Linked DNA regions of Astyanax mexicanus. The protein of the gene in region 1 purifies or fractionates together with the protein of each later gene. This does not show direct contact. Links are inferred from orthologs where the notes say so. Each region holds a gene or a part of one and is shown in the gene's direction. Other genes may lie near its edges.

Evidence for each region.
Region 2: the proteins of nod1 (region 1) and sugt1 purify together in Homo sapiens (affinity purification with western blotting; 3 studies listed by BioGRID and IntAct, with this or other methods). This does not show direct contact. The link is inferred for Astyanax mexicanus from reciprocal best matches to the Homo sapiens genes NOD1 and SUGT1.
Region 3: the proteins of nod1 (region 1) and ripk2 purify together in Homo sapiens (affinity purification with western blotting; 4 studies listed by BioGRID and IntAct, with this or other methods). This does not show direct contact. The link is inferred for Astyanax mexicanus from reciprocal best matches to the Homo sapiens genes NOD1 and RIPK2.

What each region holds. Positions count from the first base shown.
Region 1 is NC_064408.1:130,924,356-130,931,902, forward strand, and holds the start of nod1 (nucleotide-binding oligomerization domain-containing protein 1), read left to right. Parts: upstream 1-4,492; 5' UTR 4,493-5,042; coding exon 5,043-5,204; intron 5,205-7,265; coding exon 7,266-7,440; intron 7,441-7,547. UniProt on the Homo sapiens protein: Pattern recognition receptor (PRR) that detects bacterial peptidoglycan fragments and other danger signals and thus participates in both innate and adaptive immune responses.
Region 2 is NC_064428.1:20,742,432-20,750,205, reverse strand, and holds the start of sugt1 (protein SGT1 homolog), read left to right. Parts: upstream 1-4,688; 5' UTR 4,689-4,821; coding exon 4,822-4,835; intron 4,836-4,925; coding exon 4,926-4,974; intron 4,975-7,582; coding exon 7,583-7,673; intron 7,674-7,774. UniProt on the Homo sapiens protein: May play a role in ubiquitination and subsequent proteasomal degradation of target proteins.
Region 3 is NC_064415.1:55,318,211-55,326,038, forward strand, and holds the start of ripk2 (receptor-interacting serine/threonine-protein kinase 2), read left to right. Parts: upstream 1-4,741; 5' UTR 4,742-4,754; coding exon 4,755-4,948; intron 4,949-6,194; coding exon 6,195-6,348; intron 6,349-7,262; coding exon 7,263-7,418; intron 7,419-7,828. Other genes in the region: sorting nexin-16-like, read right to left, coding at 1,247-1,513.

The sequences.
Region 1 (7,547 bases):
TAATGTTTTTATTTCAAATCGAAAACGAAAGGAGGAGAATAATAAATTATACAGTAAAACACAAACACAACTACAGTGAACTATTTACTTAAAACAATTAGACAGCTTCAGTTTCTGATTCAGTTTCTCTGATTTTGCTATTTATAGGTTTATGTTTGAGTAAAATGAACATTGTCATTTTGTTCTATAAACTACAGACAACATTTCTCCCAAATTCCAAATAAAAATATTCTCATTTAGAGCATTTATTTACAGAAAATGAGAAATGACTGAAATAACAAAAAAGATGCAGAGCTTTCAGACCTCAAATAATGCAAAGAAAACAAGTTCATATTCATAGTTTTAAGAGTTCAGAAATAATCAATAGTTGGTGGAATAACCCTGGTTGGTTTTTAATCACAGTTTTTTTCATACATCTTGGCATCACGTTCTCCTCCACCAGTCTTACACACTTGTGGTGTTCCACAGGGTTTTACTGTAGGACCAATAAAACTTATGTTAATAATGATAAAACTGTAGTTCTGAGAGTGAAGGACTGAAGTGTAGATTATATACAGGTTCTAAACACAGTTTTAGAACCAGTGTAATGTATAATCAGTGGAGCTGAAAACAGTAGCACAATAATGGGTGTAGAAACAAGGAGGTGTTCATAATGTTCTGCTAAATCTAAATCTCTGTATTTATTTCTGCATCTACACTGTAGTACAAAAAATTACTCAAGATTCAAGATTCAAGATTTAATAGTTTATTGTCTCTTAAACAGTAAGAAACAAGTTTCCTTTTACAATAAAATTATTTATTTCCTCACCGCCAAGTATACCACATAAAGATAAAAGTGCAAAATACACAATAAAACAAGAAATAACAAACTAACTAAATACAGATTTTTACATAATTACTGTAGAGGATAAGGCCTGTTTCTTTTGGGGGAATCTTCTTTTTTTTCTTTTTTGTGAAGTTTAGTTAGTCTTTAATGTTACAGTATTATAGTATAAATTACATTGTTAGATTACACACCTCTTCTCTCTATGAAACGTTTGAATTATTGACTTCCTATTCTTAGTAAAAGTCATAATTCACCTGATGTACAGAATTATCTTCAGGATTATTAGATAAAAAAATGTGCTGTTTGTATAAATGAATGAGAAATGGATTCTATGACTAGATAAAGCGCAGGTTGAACACACCATTTTGAGAGATTCAATCTTATTTTGAAAAATGCTAAAAAAAAAAAAAAACAGAGAAAAACTGTAATTTTAATATATTTACAGATTATAACAAGCCTCCACCTGAACCTGCACTACCACTCTTTACCACCAGGACAAACGTTTCATGCATGTTTTTGATTTCAGAGTTTTCACTTACTGTGATTAATGATAAAAGATTAAGATTGTGTGGAACAGAAAAAAATAAAATAATTCAGAATTAAAACAAAATAGAAATAGAAAAATTAATTCATATATTTTTAAGAATTTTAAGAATAAATACTCAATTAAAAAAGAAAGAAAGAGAAATCTAAGAATAGTTGATATAAATAAATGAGCGATTTTGCAAATAGGACAGTAATTATATGTTTTAAGAATGAGAAAATTTTCATATTTGTAAGGGAAAAAAAAAGATCAGCTTATTGTCACATATTAGAAATGTGACAAAACAAAACCTGAATTGGGACTTCGAAGCAGTTTATCAAAATACTGTGATTTAAAAGAATCATTTTAGTTCTAAACTGAGTTTTGAGTTTGACATTAGTACTTTAGGGGATAAAGCCTGTTTTTGGGGGGGATCTTCTTTCTTTAGTTCTTGTTAGTTATTTGTGTAAATTTTCTTTCTTTTTTTTGTTAGGTTTAGTTAGATAAACACCTAAGTTAAATATTACTTTGGGTTTTGTTTGCTATTTTAGGATTCTTATCCCTAAAGTTTTTGTAACGTTTTTTTTTTAATCACTTTGGCTTGTATTTCTCAGGGAGGTATAATCTTTGGTCTCACGAAAAACAATTATTAATTATTAATTATATAATGAAGTTATAGGACTGTAGCATATTGGAGCATATTTAGTTGTGCATTAACCAGATTTTGGAGTTCTATAAAACCCAAAAATCAAACTGTTATCACATGACATCATTAAAATCTTGAAGACCCCTTTATGTACTATTAATGATATAAAAATCAAGTGATATTTCTGTAAAATTTTGGAGTAATGGGAGGTCAAACCTAGAACAAAAGTCTATTCGGTTTTGTTCTATAAAATCAGCAAATTAAACTGTTATCACATGAAATCATTAAATTCTTGACTAAAAGCCTTTCTATTAATCTATTAATCTTACAAGTATTGAGTGATATCACTGTAGCATGTTTAAGTATAAAAGGTTAAAATTAGGGAAAATGTCTATTTAGTTGTGCATAAACCAGATTTTGGAGTCCTATAATACTGGAATTCAAACTGTTATCATATGACATCATTAAATTCTTAAAGAAGCCTTTCTATACTTTTAAGGTTATAAGTATCAAATGATATTTCGGTAGCATTTTGGAGTACTGGAAGGTCAAACTTAGGTAATGTGTCTATTTAGTGCATAAACCAGATTTTGGAGTCTTATAAAACCAGCAAATCAAACTTTAATCAAATGACATCAATACATTCTTGAAAAAGCCTTTATATACTATTAATGATACAAATATTAACATATATTTCTGTAGCATATTGGAGTAATGGGAGGTCAAACTTAGGAAAAAGGTCTGTTCGGTCTTCCGTAAACCAGAATTTGGAGTGCGACAAAATCAGCAAATTAAGCTGTAATCAAATGACATCATGAAAGCATTGAAAAAGCCTTTCTATAGTTTTAATTTCATAAGTACCACGTTATATTAATGTAGCATATTGGAGTTATGAAAGGTCAAATTTGGGAAAAATGTCTATTTGATTTTACAGAAGGCCAAATTTAAAGTTCTATAAAATCAGCAAATCAAACTGTTATCAAATTTCATCAAAAAAAATCTTAAAGAGTCCTTTCTATACTATTAATCGTATAAGTATCAAATGATTTTACTGGAGCATTTTGGAGTAATGGTAGGTCAAAATTAGGAAAAAAATATATTTATTTGTGCTAAAAACTGATTTTGGAGTCTTATAAAACCAACAAAGTAAACTGTAATCAAATGACATCATTAAATTATTAAAGAAGTCTTTCTATACTATTAATGTTTTATACTATTAAAATATTAAGATATTTTTTACTCTAGTGTATTGGAGTAATGAATAGTCAAACTTAGGAAAATTGTTGATTTATTTCTGCGAAAACCAGAATTTACAGTCCTATTAATCCAGCAAATCAAACCATAATCAAATGACATCATAACATTTCTGAAGAAGCCTTTATGTACTATTAAACATATAAGTATTAACTTATATTACTGTAGCATTTTATAGTAATGTGAGGTCAAAAAAAATGTCTATATGTTCATGCATAAACCAGAATTTGAAGTCTTATGAAACCAGCAAATCAAACTGTAATCAAATGACATCATTAAATTATTAAAGAAGTCTATATATACTAGTAATGTTACAAATATTAAGATATATTACTGAAGTGTATTGGAGTAATAAAAAGTCAAACCTAGGACAATTGTCTATTTATTTCTGCGTAAACCAGAATTAACAGTCCTATTAATCCAGCAAATCATAATAATCAAATGACATCATTTATATACTATTAAATATATAAGTATCAAGTGATTTTACTTTAGCAGTTTGGAGAAATCGGAGGTCAAACCTCAGAACAATTTAGTTGTGCATAAACCAGATTTTGGAGTCTTATAAAACCAGATAATCAAACTGTAATCAAATGACATCCTTCAATTCTTGAAGAAGCCTTTCTATACTATTAATAATATAAGGATCAACTTATATTACTGTAGCATTTTGGAGTAATGGGGGGGGGGGGGGGGGGTCAAACCTCGGAAACAAAATATCTATTTAGTTGTGCTTAAACCAGAACTTGGAATTTCTGTAATCAAATGAAATTCATTAAATTATTGAAGATCCCTTTCTGTATTATTAAATATATAAGTATTAAGTTATATTACTGTAATATGTTTTGAGCAGAGACTGTAAAAAAGATGGACGCCGTGTCTCCGTTGCCGTTCATTCAATGAAAATGAAGCCAAAATCTTCCGCCATGTTGGCGATCCTGAAACCCGAGTCTGTAGAGCGCAGTAGAGACCAGAGGAGGGAGAAAGAAAGACTGTGGAGAGACCGCCTACTCATTTAAATAACCCCGCCCACGAGGGCTGCCTCGAGGTCACAGGCTGCAGAGCGGGGCGGAGCGGAGCTGACGGTCTGTTATTGGTCCCGCCCATAAGCAGCCCTTTTACCATAACCACACCTTTTTTGAATAGAGCTGAATAACGTTTTAAAAAACGAATTCTGTGGGGATATAAAAGTGTAACAATATAAGCAGAGGCTACACTAGCTGCTGCATTTAAGTAATGGAGGTAGAATTACAGTATATTAGAAAAAAACGTGATTGAAAGTTTTCTGTTTTGCCATTGAAACCTATGGGGATGGGTGGAGTTACACAGCTTTCTGCAGCCGAACAGCAGGGGGCGCCCGACCTGTGGTGGCTTCACTTTTAAGAGACGATGCTCTGTCCAGCTATATACAGTCTATGGTTTTGAGTAACATGCTGTTAAACTTAGGAAACACGAATAGTTGCTAGGGGTGTGTGTGTGTGTGTGTGGTTAGTGTCAGATTTCAACAGACATTCCAGTTTCACTTCCTGAAACAGAGCAGCGACACACACACACACACACACACACACACACACACACACACACACACTGTGAGAGGCAGTGATCGAGTGTTGGGTTTTTATGAGTTTCTCTACAGTTTTACTTTCAGTTCATTAAACGATCTTCACCAGCAACACCAGCATGACTGAACTGGAGATACTGGCGATACTGGGGACACTCTTCAGCTGACAGACGGTCCACTTGTGTGTGTGTGTTTGTGTGTGTGTGTGTGTGTGTGTGTGTGTGTGTGTGAGATGGACGGGGCTCGAGCTCTGAAGTTACTGACCCTCCACCGCGAGGTTCTGGTGGAGCGCGTGAGGAACACACAGTGTGTGCTAGATAACCTGCAGAACCAGGGATTCATCTGTACCGAGGACCTGGAGATCATCCAGCACACCAACACCAGAACCCAGCAGGTACACACACACACACACACACACAAACAAACACACAATTCAAAAACTATACACACTCATAGTGTATTATACAGGAGAAGCCACACCCTCTTCACCATGACTGGTTGCTTAAATATATATCACTAGGGGTGTGCCATATCCTATCGTACATGATAATATCACCAAAAATGTAGAATATGGTGAACAATATTATGCCCTAAAATATGGTACCATATCAACCACCCCTAATTATCACATCAGGGTTCTACTTTTTTACTGTTTTTGGTAAAAGAAAAATTCATACTGTTCTCATTTCCCATTTATATATCTACTAGAGACAGATTATATCTGTACAGTATCATTTATTTTATGAATGAAGTTCAACTTATATAGCGCCTTTCTAGAAACCCAATGACGCTTTACAATTAACACGTTTTATTATCCACATAAAATTATCCACACACCGGTGAGAAGCAGCAGCCAGTAGCACACAGCGTACTCTCAACCGGAAACAACCGTCTATCTGGAGGACTGCATCCAGCACTACAGCATTTACCCAGGACAGAGTACCTGGGCATATCTGGGCACAATCATACACACATATTTACATACATTTACACACACACACACACACCAAAAACTTACATACATACCACACACTTTACTTTACTTTGATTTACTTTACTTTACTTTACTTTACTTTACTTTACTTTGATTTACTTTACTTTGATTTACTTTACTTTACTTTACTTTACTTTACTTTACTTTACTTTACTTTGATTTACTTTACTTTGATTTACTTTACTTTGATTTACTTTACTTTGCTTTACTTTACTTTACTTTACTTTGATTTACTTTACTTTACTTTACTTTACTTTACTTTACTTTACTTTGATTTACTTTACTTTACTTTACTTTACTTTACTTTGATTTACTTTACTTTACTTTGATTTACTTTACTTTACTTTACTTTACTTTACTTTGCTTTACTTTACTTTAATTTGCTTTACTTTAATTTGCTTTACTTTGCTTTACTTTGCTTTACTTTACTTTACTTTACTTTAATTTGCTTTACTTTAATTTGCTTTACTTTGCTTTACTTTGCTTTACTTTACTTTACTTTACTTTAATTTGCTTTACTTTACTTTACTTTACTTTGCTTTACTTTACTTTACTTTACTTTGATTTACTTTACTTTACTTTACTTTACTTTACTTTGCTTTACTTTAATTTGCTTTACTTTGCTTTACTTTAATTTGCTTTACTTTACTTTACTTTACTTTGATTTACTTTACTTTAATTTGCTTTACTTTACTTTGCTTTACTTTACTTTACTTTACTTTGATTTACTTTACTTTAATTTGCTTTACTTTACTTTACTTTACTTTGATTTACTTTACTTTAATTTGCTTTACTTTACTTTACTTTACTTTACTTTGCTTTGCTTTGCTTTGCTTTGCTTTGCTTTACTTTACTTTACTTTAATCCTGGATATATGGAGATAAATGGAGTACATTATTATTATCATGACATCCTGGATCATTGACTTCTGTTACAAATCTGATAAAATTATTTGTTTTTATATATTTCAATTAGCCATATAAAATTCTAAATATTTTTTCTAATTCAATGTTTTGTCTTATTGCCAAAAGTATCCATATCATGAAAATACCATGAAATATCAAGATATTATTTTAGAGTCATATCGCCCACTCCTATATCACACAGTGTATAAAGGTAATTTAAAGACCGGTGAATGTTTTCTGAACGTTTTTAAGATTGTTTTATTAAATGTTTTTAAATGTTCTTGACTCGACTTGAATAATAATGTTCTAATGCAAACCTTTATTTTGTCAAACATTTTCAGAATGTTCCTGAAATTTTATTTCTGTAACATAACAGGCTAATGTTCCTGCAACCTTTTTAACATTTTCCTTATTTTTCAATAACATTCTCTGTTAGTTTGGATAAAAAAAGAAACACTTTTGCTTCACTTTTTCAATATGGAATGGCATTCCTTAAAGAACTGAAAGTGTACCGATGATGTTTTTATGTTTGTTTGTTTTTTCCTTTTCTAAATAGGTTCGTAAAATCCTGGAGCTGGTCCAGAGTAAAGGAGAAGAAGCTTGTGCGTATTTTATTCACATTCTCCACGAGGCGTACGATGCGTACATCGACCTCCGGCCGTGGTTCCAGAGTATCCAGTATGAACCCGCCGACTCGGTCAGAGCCTTACCGGTGATCAACACCGACCCGAGTAAGTTCTGGATCTTCATTATTACAAAATCATCAATAAGAAGTGGTGCTGTGTAGGACCGTGATCATTTTAAAAACTTTTACTCTACTGTCAGTCAAAGACATAGC
Region 2 (7,774 bases), on another chromosome or scaffold:
CATAAAACACACAAGTCATTGTCATCTACTTGTCACAGTGGTATTTTCTTTGTTAAAAATTATAAGACCATTGCATTATCCTAGTTTATTGTAGTTCCAACGTGTTCTGAACCTTTTCTTCATTATAACAACAAGCTTAAAATTGCTAGTAGTATGACTTGGTAGCTAGCTACCAGGCTAAATTTCCTGTTCCACCTTAAATGATACAGCAGCAGTGCCTAAAGCTTCTGCATTTAAAGTGGAACTACATAATAGCCAGTTTCAGCTCCCTGTTACAAATTAATTTGGGTAAATGATACGAAATATATGTTGCCTTAAATTAAAGTAAAGTAAGCAACAAGATTACTAAACTTTACTGTCTTTGCTGTAACATTAGACTGGCGGGGTTGCCTACAGAGCACCGCTATTAGTAATCTAGTATTCTAGCAGTGTTCTTTTTCTATTTATTTATGTTTAGGTTCTTGAATAAGATTTTAACCACTTCCCCTTGTAACTCAGTTACTTTAGTCCTTTAGAAGGCTGCGTTTTAAAGAATTGGCAACTGAAGTATCCTTCTAAGTCTTCTGTTACCCACATTTCTCTGTACACATTTAGCGTTAAGGGTAACTAAATTTATTTTTAATTTTCTGTGGACAAAAAAAGTAAAAGCCAGAGGCACAAATTAGGAGGCTCTCTTTTCTCCCTCAAAAGAGGCGGAACCTTGCTCGTTGTATTAGCCTCCCAAAAAGCAATCTTTCTAAGACAGTGTCCTACTGAGGACCTGCTCTACGTGGACTGCAGCGTAGGCTTTGGAACGTAGCTACAGCTTTCAGCTTTTCTTCCAGCATTTTGACGTGTCTGAGTGGGTTCACTGCCCACTACTGTTTTTATTATGTGTACTGCACCTTTTGTACACAGTGTAAATTTTTGAGAACACCAACTTAGACCAAACGAGGATACGTATGCAGCAGCCATCATGCAACAAAAACAAAAATGCATACTTAACAGCAATTATATCTCTAGCCCTAGGGGAGCCAATTTAGGGACAAGTGTTTAGAATTTATTTTTCCCCCAATTTTCTGCCTGATATCATAACTGTCAGTTCCCAGCCACTAGCTAGGATTCTCCTATCACGCAATGTTACCAGCGCCTGGAGGGTGAAGGCTAGCATGTGCTTCCACAGAGTCGCCTTCAATAAAACCAGCCCACTGCTTCTTTTAAAACTGCTGCTGATGCAACATTATAGGACGGCTGAATGTGCTTAAACTGCCAATTTTGTTACATCAGCTAACAGACGCCCACGCTGGCGAGTGTTTGTGCTTAAGTGGTGGTTGGGGGGGGGGACAGATGGTCAGTGGTGCTGTCTTGTTGTTTTGGACATGGACAGCTGTGGTATCACTGGAGATGAAACTTATGATAAAAACATATGATCTTCTGGTGATTGGGCAATGCTTAAGGTGACCAATGTTTCAGACTGATATTTGTTAATGTATTTATTAAACTCAAGAAGAGCAGAATGTTTAGGTTATGCTGGACTACTGTGGATAAATAGCTGCATTTTATTCATTTGTATCATTCTATATATTTTTTTTTCTTTTGAGAGAAATTTAACGGTTTGAATAACAAAAATCATTGATCTGATTTGTATACTTTGAAGGCCAGGCCAGGAACATATTGGAAACAATTACTGTTGTTTACTCTATCCATTGTTTTATTCTGTATTACCTTGTATATTTAAGACTAAGCTCCAAAATAACTGATGGTTTTGGGTCCAAGGTTGGTTCATTTTGTGTTTTACTTGCAAATCTGATTATTTTACACATTTCTCAGGTTGAAATGTGGTTCAAATATCTTATAATTTTTTAACAAAAGATTTATATTTAACAAATAAAATCAGATGAAACAATTTAGTTGATTTTGTTGTTTTCAAAAACAGGCGTTCCTGTACAGAAAATGCCTCCATCTATGCCATTTTTTGGATTCTTTAATGTTATGTGCTTTATTACTGACAACAGTAACTGTTGTAAAAATGTGTTTTATTATTATTATTATTGCATATATTGGTATATCTTAATGAAAAAAAGCCTGTACAGTGCATCTGGATAACAAAGCCATATAAAAAAAATGTCTGTCTGCTTTATCCCTTGTATCTGATGAAATAATTGTCTTTTACGGGAGTTACCTTCTTATATGTCGGAGGTGTTGGAACTTTTCACTGATATTGTTGAACATGTATGTCTCAGTTTGCAGAAAATATTAAGATCTTTTTTTTGTCTTTTTTAAAATATCACTGTATTTGATGATTCTGTTCATTTTATACGCAAATGGTTGTCAAGCCTGTATTTAAGAAATAAAATATGCATTTGTTTTGGAATGCGGACTTGATTATTTGTTTCTGTACTGTAACCTGAAAATCCTGATGCCTATTTTTGTGAGAAAATATAATCAAGGCTGTTTCCAGCTGGAAAACCACTTTACAGAAAAACTCCCAGAAAGAGAAAGAAATCTTGAGGAGAACCTGGACTTAAAAGTATTGCAAAAGAGACAACTGAACAAATAAAAAAAATTAAAAGCTCCTGTACGGCAACTTTATTTTGAGTTGAAAATAAAAATTGTGTCAGCCTAAACAAGCTTATTGCTTCTTCATGCTATCAAACCTTTGCAACTTTTTGTTAAATATACAATTAATTCAACTGCAGTGCACGCTTCTTGATACAAAATTTAAATTTGAACTGTTCTTATTTTTATGACATACATCAGAGGCAGAATATATCTGTTTAGAATTAATTATTATTATTATTCCAATACGTCATGTACAGAGTGCATTATTAGCATTATGAGGCATGATAGGCCATTGGTTTCTGGAAATCTAGAGAAAAGTCCGGTATTTTATTATAACGCAATAGCAAAATACTGCTAAGTCCATTTTTTGTTCAATGTTGTGCAGCTTTAATACATTTCAGAAATGTGTTGTTTGGGCATTGTTGATGAGTTTAAGGGAATTAAGAATAACCTTAATTTTTAGTGTTTCATCGATAATGATACTGTCTGATATCTGATATACTGTGCTGATATTGGCACTTAGACACGGTATGTGTATATGCAACAGAGACCACAGAGATCACAAACTGACAGGCATGCACACCAGTAGTATTTTTTTTATCATTCTATAAAACATTCTAAACAAACAAAGAAAAATAACTTTAAGTAATAAGTAATATTATAATTATAATATTATATTTATAATACTTTGTATTATTACTAATACAGAATCTATTGTGAATTGTGGCATTCCACAGGGTTGAATTGTAGGGCCTTTGAAAATGTAAAGAACTATGTGAGCCTACATACAGGAAAAACGTGGTTAATCAACTACAAACAAACCTGATGTAAAAATGAGAGGTAAGATTTTAATCATTAATATTTTTGTGTAGGAGTGTGCCATATCGCATTGTACGCAATAATATTGCCAACACTTTTTTATACTGTAAACAGTATTAAACCCTGAAATGAAGGTAAATCTGAAAAATTTAGTGAACTTTTAAAGTACCCAGAAGTGATAAGGTGTTAAGGTGATGAAACTGGCACTCGTTAGGAAAAGGAAAGCCAAAAGTTACCTCTGTTGCACAGGACAAGTTCATCAGAGTTACCAGCCTCAGAAAGCACAGATAAGAGCCACCTAAATGCTTCACAGATTATTTTGGTTAGTTTTTACACTTTTAAAGGTCTCCTTCCCCTAAAATTTACTTTTTTCTTGTTGTTTGTGAAATATTATAGGTATCTCTGAGTTGTATATGCAGCTACACATGAAACTGTTCTTCAAACTCTATTGTCTGCAGTACCTAGTAAAATAAAATGTTTAGAAAAACAAGTTGATCAGGAAAAGCACCATGTTTACGTCAACCTGTGAGTTCATGACCTCACCCATCTTGGCTCAGGACCGCCCACAGACAAAGCTAAAGCCAGGCTGCAGCAGAGCAGACATTGTCAGCTAAAGAGCTTACAGCTCTGTTTACACAAGCTAGTTAGCATTAGCTATATTGTGTAAGTACCTATAGGTTTAAATCGGATCTCCGGTTGATTCTGCATTTTACCAAGAGCTTGAATACACAATAGGGAAGCTACGGCACTCGCATCGCTGTGAGTCTGACGTTAAGCGAAGTTTAAGGGTTAACTTTACCTAGCGCTTAGTGCTGTATCTTTAAAACTAAGGCTGTGTCTCCGAAAACATTTTGTCCTTTGAGTTTAAGAGCTGTAAAACTGACTGCAGGGGAAGGCAGGTAGGCGTTCTCTGCTGCAGTGCTGCTAGCCAATCAGAGGCGATATGTTTGCATGTATGAATATTCATGAGCAAGAGCCGAAATCCTGTCTTTCTTCAGAGACCACTAATTCTGTGAAATAAAGCAGGCTTATACAGAAACACCAGAGCACTTTTATCCACAAAAAAAACTGCTCACATGGCATTCCTTCATACTAGAGACCACAACTAGACATTTTAAAATGAATGAGAAAATGATTGAATGAGACTTTTAAGTTACTACATGAGTCTTTGTGTGTTCCTTCATAGTCTGGATGACTTATGTATTAATTTACTATTAGTTTACTATCATCTGTAAACACAGTAAAACAAGTCTAGAAGTTCTGTCACTTGAGCCAGTAGTTGATGAAGTCTGGTTCAGAGTTCAGTGGTTGCAGGCGTTTATTTTGCCGGGTGTTTTTCTCCACAGTTGGGAGTTTGACAGTCCTGATGTTTACATGGCGCTAAGCAGCAGCGAGGAGGGCCTTTCGGTTTCACTCAGAACTTTCTAGACCTTCTTCTTCACCCACGAGAACGGCGGACTCATGGCCAGCGACAGGTAACCTCCACACGGCCACAAACCGACAGTATAGCGCGATATAAGGTGGATTATTAACCTTTTATTAACCCTGTTTGCTTTTTATTGCAGGAGTTTTACTGACAGTTTCATAGACGAGGACCCGAAGCGAGCTCTGCAGGTAAAAACACTGCGATAGCCAGCTAGCGTAGCTAGCATAGGGGGCTAACTTGCTAACCTAGCTAGCTAACTAGTTCACTTAGCTTAAAACACAATGCTTAAATGTATGAGCGTTAAGAGTAACTTATACCATTAAATACATTTTTCATGTCTGAGGAGCCAAAAACACACGGGATTTGTGCAAATGGACATTTAACTTAGCTAAGCAGCGCAGTGTCTGAAAACCGGATGAGCTAGGTTAGCTGAATGGCTAGCTAGCTACGTTAGCCTGTTAGCCGAGGTAGGGTAAAGTGACTGGGTTTGTTAGCTAGTTAGCTAAGTTTTGACAGTTGTGATGTGATGGCTAACCAGTTTAAACTGTAGACAGCTGTTAACTCTTAGATAATATGCAGCAGTTCCGCGGTTTTTAGCTTTGGTCAGTGTTTTTAGCCAGTCTGCTCCATAGACTGTGGTTTGCTCTAGCTAGCAAAGCTAACGTAGCTGTTCTCGAATTTTTCTGACTAACTAAGCTAGCTAACTAACTGTGTTCACATCCAACACACAGTTATTCACAGTTTACATAATATATTTGAGTTAATACTATTAAAAAGCGTGGGTATAATATGTTTTGCTCACTTTTAGAGTTGGTGCCTAAGTTAGCTAGCTAGCAGAGTATCTAACGTTACCTGTCTATAACCTGCTTCTCACATCCAGAATGTTCTATGCCCAGCTGTGAAGAGCCTGAGAATTAGGATGGTGATGCTACTGTATAAATGTACCGTGGTAAAAATAAGAAAGAGAAAAACATACAGCATGGGTAGTTCAGGCTTGTTGACCAGCATATGGTAGTAATGTTTTTTCTTATTTTGGGGTTATGTGGTTCACGTGGTTCACAAGCATGGTCAGCCAGACCAGGCTAGCTAGTAAGATAACTAGTATAAATGACCAAGCTTGACCATGCTGGTTAACCAAAATGAGCAGCAGCAAGACTAACGTGCATGACAAAGCTGGTCCAATATGCTGTATTTCTATATGGGTTTGATGGTTTAGCTGGTCTATAACCTGCTGCTGAGATCCAGAATGTTCCATGCTCATCTTTACCATATTAGCTACTGTATAAGTTTTTCCTGGTAAAAAAAAAAAAAACATACAGCATGGCTAGTTCAGGCTTATTTACCATCATATGGTATTTATGTTTTTCTTATTATGGGGTTTGATAGTTTACAAGCATGATCAACCTGACCAAGCCTGCTAACTAAATAACCAGTATAAGCTTGACACAAAGCTGGTCCAATATGGTATGTTTTGATTTGGGTTTGATCGTTTGCTGGTCTATAACCTACTGTATAAATTCACCCTGGTTTAAAAAGAATTAAGACTTGTTGAACAGCATATGGTAACCTAACCAAGCTAGCTAACTAGATATCCAGTATGACCAAGCTTGACTATGCTGGCTAACCAACGCGAGCAGCAGCAAGACTAAAGTGCTTTGACCAGCATGACAAAGGTGGTCCAATATACTACATTTTATTTTGGGTCTGATGATTTAACTGGTCTATAACCTGCTGCTGAGATCCAAAGTTGTCCTTGCCCAGCTGTGGAGAGTCTGTGAATTAGGATGATGAAGATGTACCATATTTGCTACTGTATACATTTACCCTGGTAAAAAAAAGAAAAACATACAGCATGGCCAACAGCTGGCTTAGGAACCAGCATTGAGTGTGATTTCATTTGGGTTTAATGGTTTAGCTGGTCTAACAGCATAATCAGCCTGACCAAGTTAGCTGCTTCATTATATTTCCAGTATGACCAAGCTTGACCATGCTGAGATCCAGAATGTTTCTAAGCTGTGGAGAGAAGACTAAGGTGGTTGACCAGCATGACCAAGATGGTTGGCTATGGTGGTCAAGAGCTAGTTAACTTGCCAGATTACCAATATAAGATATGTTTTCATTTGGGTTTGTTGGTTTAGCTGGTGTACAAGCATGATCAACTAAACCAAGCTAGTTACATATACAGTATGACTGTAGACCGATGTGGGATTTCTGGGCCAATGCCATTATCATCTCTGCTAATGCCAGTATGCACAATTTTGACTTACTAGAAACTAGACACCATGTTATAACTTTAGAAACAAATGTAGCATTTATATAGTTTTAGTTTCCAACCAACTGTATGCAGACAATAAAATGAAGGGTGTTTCCTGAGAAATCTGTTTTCATATCTGTTGTTTTCACATTAATATATCTTATATTAACTGGCCCTTATATAAACTGATCGCAGCCGGAAACCTTTTTGTAAATAACAGGTTAAATAAAACAATAGCCCTATTGAAACTAATAAAATAAATATAAATGAGCTTATATTAAAGGATTTAAATGTAGCATTTATTTAAAAGGATTTAAAATGTCAGCAAGTATCGGTTTGAAATATCTAAACATTGTTCAATGCCAGTGATTATAAAAAACTATTATCGGCCGATACCAGCATTATGGTATGCTTTTGCCTGGCTGACCAGCATTTCAACCACCTTGACTCTCAAGGCTCAGCTTTGACAGACTGATACCAGCTACTATCAGAAGTCTTTCTGTACTTTCAAACTAACTAACTAAGTTTTGTTATGTTCACAGGAGCTGAATGTGGCTTTGGGAGATACAGCTGACAATGCAGAATGGCTCTGTCAGCGATCTTATGCACACATTCTGGTCCAGGACTATAACAGTAAGTTCCTGTTTTTGGTTTTCTTTGCTTTTTTTTCAGTGTATCTCAGACTATTTAGCATATGTTTATCAGCAGCATAACACATCTTTGTGTTTGGCTTA
Region 3 (7,828 bases), on another chromosome or scaffold:
TTTACTCATATTTGCATAACATGAGAAGAGAAACCAAACCTAATTAGGTCTCCCTACTGAATACTGGGGACTGGTCTGGTGTTTTGGAGATGTTCAGACCCAGTCCTCTAGCCAGCATCAATGTGGCTCTTGTTTAGGTGGCTCGGATTCTTTCGTCATGTGTGTGTGACTGTCTGATAGTCACCCACTTCAGTTTATATTCAGGGAGGTTTGAACACAACAAGACTTATTCAAACCTGCATTTTGTAGATCAGGGGTTGGCAATTAAGTTAGTAGCTCTCCAGCCCAGAGGGTTGTTGAACCCAGTTGCAGAACAGTGATCTCAAAGCAGGTAAACCCAAGAAAAAAGGAAAAAAAAAAAAAACACACCACTCCTCTTGCAGGATCAAACCTGTGTTGTCAGGGTCGCGGTCCAATACACTACTGCTGCCCCGGCTAGTGAATTGGGACATGGCCTCGGAAAAAAATGCTCTTATAAGAAGATAGGGAGCCCAAGAACTGGCTGAAAAATGAGAACCGGCGGAAACTACAGTCACCTCGAGCGAGACAGTGAAGGAAAGGGGAGGAATGTAAACAAAGGCTTGCCAGAAAAGCATTTTTTTTTTTCATTTTATCATTCATTATAATTCAAAAACCTCATGAGCTTGGTTGCATTTTAAAGGTGAACTCAGGTGTAAAATGGACTTTTGTTGTATTAAAACAAGATAAAAAGTACTATGTCTATGTTATTATCAGTTCAAAGATGGCCGCACTTGGAGCTGAAGCTCACCTTATAGGATGTAAACAGTGTTTTTTAATAAGATTCTTGTGCACTTTTTAAGTTATTAATTCTTCGTTTTAAATGTCAGGGCTCTCCAGATTCTAGCAAGGAGCTAGTGTGGAGCTACTTTGAGCTGGATAACGTAAAACGTTAAAAGTGATTTATCGGGGCAAATTTTGCCCTGTATCACCCAGTCTGAAGGGTGTTTGGACAAACTGTTAAAATTTCTGGATCTCAGACCGCTGTGGGAGAACGAAGGTGTGCTATTAATCAAAGGTAAGTTTGACTTTTTATCATGTTTTACTACAGCAAAAGTCTATTTTACACCAGAGTTCTCCTTTTAATCTACATTTGTTTGTAAATCAGCCCTATACGAATATAATCCACAAACACAACTGACTTTTGAGCTGATTAGCAGTGGTATGTTTGTTCAATAGAACAAAACTTAACTGAACCCTCTAAAAGGAACATTTGAAAGAAACTTACCGTGAACTTCGCCCTCTCCTCCATGACCTCGTAGCCCACCAAGGTGGCTAAGGGTGGTCTTTCATACAGACTCTCTCTACTGGCTCTGCAGTCCAAACTGTTCATCTTCCTCAGCCCTGGCTTCACCCAGGCGTTCTGTGAGAGGGATGAGTCCGAGTTGACGGAGAGATTGCTGAGGCTGGAGGTCCTTCTGATCCCGTGTCTGAGCTGCCAGATAGCTGGACATCTTTCTACAGGGTAGGGGACTGGAACAAATGGGCCGGCCATTACTGCAGCTGTGAAAAGTAGAGCAAAAATTAAAGGGTAGAATTTTTAAGGACATATTTTTTAAGTCAAAGATTAGGAAAAAGCATGACAAGTGTGTTCATATAGCACCTTTTACACAGTGCTTTACTTATCCAATCCAACTTATCCAAGTAAGAAAGTTTGGACAAAGTTCTAGAATACATTGTAAATTAATACTGAAGTACTAAATATGGAGGATACTGAAGAAATTAATACTTAAACAAAGTGTTAACCAAAACTTAAATAATCTGTGATGCATCTGTAGGTGGCACTTATCCGGAGTTCTGTTAACTTGCAGTTTCTAAGGCTTAGAAACTCTTACTCTTCCTTTTCTGGGGCAGACCTGATGAGGGCCAGTTCAATCATAACATTTTTGATGGTTTTTGCGGTAACTGCACTTGAGGATACTTTCAAAGTTGTTGAAATTATTCTTTTCAGATTGCCTGAACTTCATTTTTTCTTTTAAATATTTTTTTCTTTACATAGTTGAGTAGTTCTTGCTTCTCATAATATAGATTGTAACATTACTTAAATAGAGCTATTCACTGTATACCTGTAACTCTACCTCTTCACAACTTTACAACCGATGCTCTCATACACATTAAGAGACAAAAAATTCAAGTAATTAACTCTTAACAAGCTCTTAAAAATGACTGAGGAAGTCCAGCAGAGATGTGCAAAGCTGTCTAATCTAAGCAAGAGGTGCCTATTTTGAAGAATCTAAAATATATAAAAAACATTCTGGTTTTGTTTTTCTTCAAAGTTTGGATGATTTTACAATGCAGAACATACTGGTATTTAAAATGAACTTAATTAAACATAAGAATTAGAATTTAAAAAGTGCTGTTAAATCTGTTAAAAAAAAAATTTTACTGTTGGTACTATTTTGCATTTATTTTCCCAGGCAGAGAAGCAGTTTGGTGTGTGCGTTTACTGTGTGAAAGAGAAATAAGAATATGATTTATCATACAGCCTCAATCTGGAACATACAGGCATTTGGTTTAAGGTTCTGAAATCCAGTGAAAATTCTTAGCTTTTAGCACATTCACCATGGATCATTTTATTCTATTTTGAAACATTTTGGTATAAAATAAAATGTCAAAACTCCACATTAACATGAAATAACAGACATCCTCTAGCTAAAAACATTTCTAGCTAAATCTGAAGGACATCTATGAACCTAAAAACGTGGTGCCCACAAAAATATACCTTCTCAGAAACGTATTTATTATAAACATATTACTATTTTTAAACCCTATAATAACATAATGTGGTTTAAATACATAGAAATTAGTGGCTAACTGTAACTATTTTCTGTCCAACAGCAAATTATTTGAGTAAATAAGTCTAACAGGTTAGCTACTTACCAGCAGCAGATTAAATATGGAGGATAATCGCAGTGTTTTGAGGAGCAGGAGTGAAATACCCGTTATAAACGAGTTTCATAGGAGAGATTGTTGCTCCAAAATCAGCTGACAGCTTCAGCATCTTAAATCCACCCGTTTTGAGTTAAGCACCGCCCCCATACGCTGAGATTGACTAGTGGCATTCCGCATCCTGCGCTCTGATTGGTTCCCAGATCGCACTCGCCAGCACGTCGTCGATTCTACCAATCCTAGAAGAGCAGGTGTGACCGTTTTAGCGAATCTGAGCTCACGTGGGGCGGGACATGTCTGAAAACAGGTGGTATTAAAAAGAACCGCGCCGCACTTGCACACAATCGCTGGAGTGTTTTCATGTGGAGGCGGGGCGTAGACGCTGGGGTGTGATTGACAGCGAGCAGAGCCAGCTGGAAATATTTTAAATTGAGAATATTTATCATTATGATTTTGATCATTATGATATATATATATATTTAAAAAGGGCTGCTGTTTAAATGTGTGTAGAATTGATAATTTAGTTCATTTAAAGCTAAACAGTATATAAATAACTTATATAAATAAATATATAAAGAAAAATAGTGTAATAGACAAGGTTTAGGTCCACATCTAACCTAAGTGTTATTTTATGTATAATATTACAAAGAAAAAGTATATTATGGCAAATTAAATAACAATAGACTGTCAAAAAAAAATCCTGAACGTATTGGCAATATTATTTATAAAACACAATTAAATATATAATTATTTAAAATAATTAACAAAACAGTACATGATATACTTGATTTTTTAAATGTTATTATTTTAAGATGTTTAATTTAAGAGTGCTGGAGATTCCCAGAAATCTGCTGAACTTCCCTGAAACCTATTACATCGTGGGAATTCCCAAACCACTTTAAGAGTCACAGTAGTTCCAGGTCTAGATTTAATCTGGCCGAGGAGCATGACTGTGAGGGTGCTTAGACAGATATATATATACAGCCTTAATCAGGAGCTTTGAATTGGTCTGGAGAATGTGACGAAACACTGATGTTGACCCATCGACAATCACAGGTCAGAACAGCTGAAGTCGATAAGCTGTTGTTATTTAGATCTGATGGAGCTTCTGCTTCCAGGAATATCTGTCTTAAAACTACACACGTGCACAGGGGAAGACACAAAAGAAGACTCAGCTCTATTTACGTAAATAGAGTTAATAGCAAATAGCAAATTGTTTTAGCACACTGCTGACCTGTTTTCATTGCTGTATTTTGGAAAATCCCTTGGGCTGTTTCCAAAATACAATATTTTGGCCACAAACAGCAATAATTTTGTGATGATCTCAGATTTCACTAAACTCATTCACCTCTCTAACATATTAGTAGTAGAGAGATAGAAAGAGAGAGGTAGAGAGACTGCTAGAGAGATAGAGAGGTGGAGAGAGAGAGGGGGTGGAAAGATAGAGAGATGAAAAAAGAGAGGGGCGGGGCGGTGGAGAGAGGGGCGGGGCTAGTGACAGAGCGCAGATTCACCGCTGACAGTTTCTTTTCGTTAAGTTTATAAATCATCCGCAGGTCGCGTGCAGTTTTCTGGGTTATCGGAAACTTTACCGAATATCGTTTTATTAGAGCTTTTTTTAATATTAGAGATTTTTTCCTGTTAAGCTCCGTAAACCGACCGTTCTCTCCAGTCGAGTGGGTTATCGTTGGCTGGAGCGCCAGTCTTCACCGTCCCCGCCTCCTGTCCCTCAGTCATGCCGTTAATCAGACGCTCCGGCTCGGCCGCCTCGTCCGCGGCGCACCGCGGGGATTTTCGCTAACCGGCGGCGCTGACCGTCTCCGCATTGTTTCCGTTTTTCGGTCGCAATGGAGCCCGCAATGGGCTGCGTGAACATCGGCAGCCTGACCAGCGCGCTGCCCGTGATCCCCTACCGCAAGCTGACCGACCTGCACTACATCAGCAAGGGCGGCTTCGGCACCGTGTTCCGGGCGCTGCACAGCGACTGGAGGACCACCGTCGCCATCAAGTGCCTGAAGCTGGACTCGCCCGTCGGGGAGAGGTGAGCTCAAGGACTCGGGGCTCCGGTTCGGCCTTTTCCGCAGCAGCTAAGAGAGAGAGACAGACACAGCGGGGCCTGCGATACTTTAGTTTAGCTAGTTTAGTGCTGTTTTTGTTGTGAACTACATGTGGTAACCTAGCTACTGTTAGCTAGCCGGCTAGCTTAGCTTACTTACTCTCCCTTCATCAATACTGATAGAGTAAGGTTAGCTTTAATCCACCCTCAGGTAAAAGTACTGTATTAGAACTGATGATAATAATAAACCAGTATAATTAAGTAAATAAGAGACCACTTAAAAATGATGAGTTTCTTTAATTTTCCCAAATTGAAATCCTCTACAATATAATCAAGAGGAAGATGGATGATCACAAGCCATCAAACCAAGCTGAACTGCTTGAATTTTTGCACCAGTAGTAGCATAAAGTTATCCAAGAGCAGTGTGTAAGACTGGTGGAGAACATGCCACCAAATATTGATTTCTGAATTCTTAAAACTTTATGAATATGAACTTGTTTTCTTTGCATTATTTGAGGTCTGAAAGCTCTGCATCTTTTTTGTTATTTTAGCCATTTTATATTTAGCCATATTATATTAAATAAATGCTCTAAATGACATTATTTTTTATGACAAATTCTGGAGAAATGCTGTCCACAGTTTATAGAGTTGGATATGCTCTTTCTCACTTAAAAGGCAGTATATTGATGAGTGTACTAGTCACTGGGACAACAATGTCTCCTGGAGCTGGCAAAATATTGTTTCACTGCTAGATATAAATGTGTAACTGGGTTGTCATCAGCTCTTAGCTTTTATGATCAATAAAATAAAAGTCTCAATTGCTAAACTAAGATTCAGAAGTAACTGGGTGTTATCCTGCCTCAGAATCTATTTCCTAAATTTTCGACACAACTGATAATGACATAAAACCAACAAAAGATCAGCATCTAACAACATTTTGAAGAATTTAATTTCATTATGAAGTTGAGCAGATGCCAGGATGTGGTGTCATTTTGGCCATACCTTCCAGCTAAATGGTGGTATTTCGTGTCAGTGTGACATCAACACATGAGAAAGTGGAGTTAATTCACTAATAGCAGTACAGGAGGAGCACGATAAGAAGAGCTAAAATCACATGTCATGCTTGAGAAACAGTTTGACGGCAGTGGCTTGTCTGTTGTAAGCACTACTCAGCTGTTTCAGAGAAGGGGAATCCCTAACACTTTTTGCGTAATTGTACACTTCCTTGCAGGGAAAGAAATTGTCTTCTGAAAGAAGCTGAGGTGCTACACAAGGCCCGGTTCAACCACATAATTCAAATATTTGGCGTGTGCAACGAGCCTGAGTTTTTCTGCATAGTTACAGAGTACATGACCAATGGATCTCTGGATGAACTTCTGCACGAGGTAAGGTTTACTTTAACTAAACACATATTTAATATGCTTCATTTAAAGGTCTCCTTCCGCTAAAATCCACTTTTTCTAGTTCTTTGTGAAATACAATAAGTTTCTCTGATTTGTATACGATGCTGCATTGGAACTATTCTATAACCTCTATTATCTGCAGTAGCTAGAAAAGAAAAGAGAATACTCCGAAAAACGAGTCGATCTGCAAAAGCATCAACTCGTGTATTAGTAAACTAATTAGTAAACTAAACCCGGGGTGCAGTAACTAAAGAGCTTACAGCTCTGTTTACACCAGCTAGTTAGCGTTAGCTTTCTTGTGTAAGTAACTACAGGTTTAAATCTGATCTCCGGCTGATTTTGCGTTTTACCAAGGCCTTAAATATACATTAGTGAAGCACGGTTTGACAGGGTAGCACAACTCGACAGAACACCGGTCAAAGCGGGCGCCATTTGTACAGATTTTATGATATAAAGTATAAAGCAGACTCTGGGTCTTCACCGTGGTAAAACTGCACAAGCACTGAATCAGCAAGTCTGAGGTAAGAGTTTAGAGTTTAGTAGTGTTAGTTTAGCTGAAAGAAATTATCAACGCCACTTTTCACTGCTGGAGGTTATGTTCTCTGCTGCAGTGCTGTTGACCAATCAGAGGCGATCTGTTTGCATGTATAAATATATATAGTTCTGAGCAAGAGCCAATATCCTGTTTTTCTTCAGAGACCACTAATTCAGTGATTTAAAGCAGGGCTAAACAGAAACACCGGAGAAAAATGGCTCACATGAAATTCATTCATACTAGAGACCACAACTAGATATTTTAAAATGAATGGGAAAAAAATTATAAAATGTGACCTTTAATAACAAATCTCAGTATTTCAGTTTTGCTCATCCTGTTTGTCATTTTTCGTGTTTGGCAGAAAAACATGTACCCAGTGGTGGCCTGGCCGCTGCGACTTCGAATTCTGTATGAAATTGCACTTGGAGTCAACTTCCTCCACAACATGACCCCTCCGCTGCTCCATCATGATCTGAAAACACAGAATATTCTGCTGGATGGAGAGTACCATGTAAAGGTTAGTGAGTTTTTCTTACTTTTTTTGATTAGCGTGCCATTATTCTCGCCTCTTTCACCATAGCTTCCTCAATTTCGAAATTTCGCCTCAGCTCTACGCTCACCACATTGAGTTTAGAAAGTGGTTTGGTCAGTTTTGGCCTTCAGACATGTATTGGCATGCGCTTACAACATTTATGTGGAATGTTAATCTGTGTGGGAGCAGAGGCCATGACTCCAAGAATCAATATCTATTAGTAACCATTTTCTGAAAACCACAATTTTGTTTCTTCAAAAGCCTTTGTGTAGCTCCTTTACTCTTCTGACTGTATTTTAAGTCATTAATTAAAGAGAGGCCCTTTTTAAAACTTTTTAAATCTCTGTATGAAAAGCAGATGGTCATTTACATATGAGCATGACCTTGAATATTTC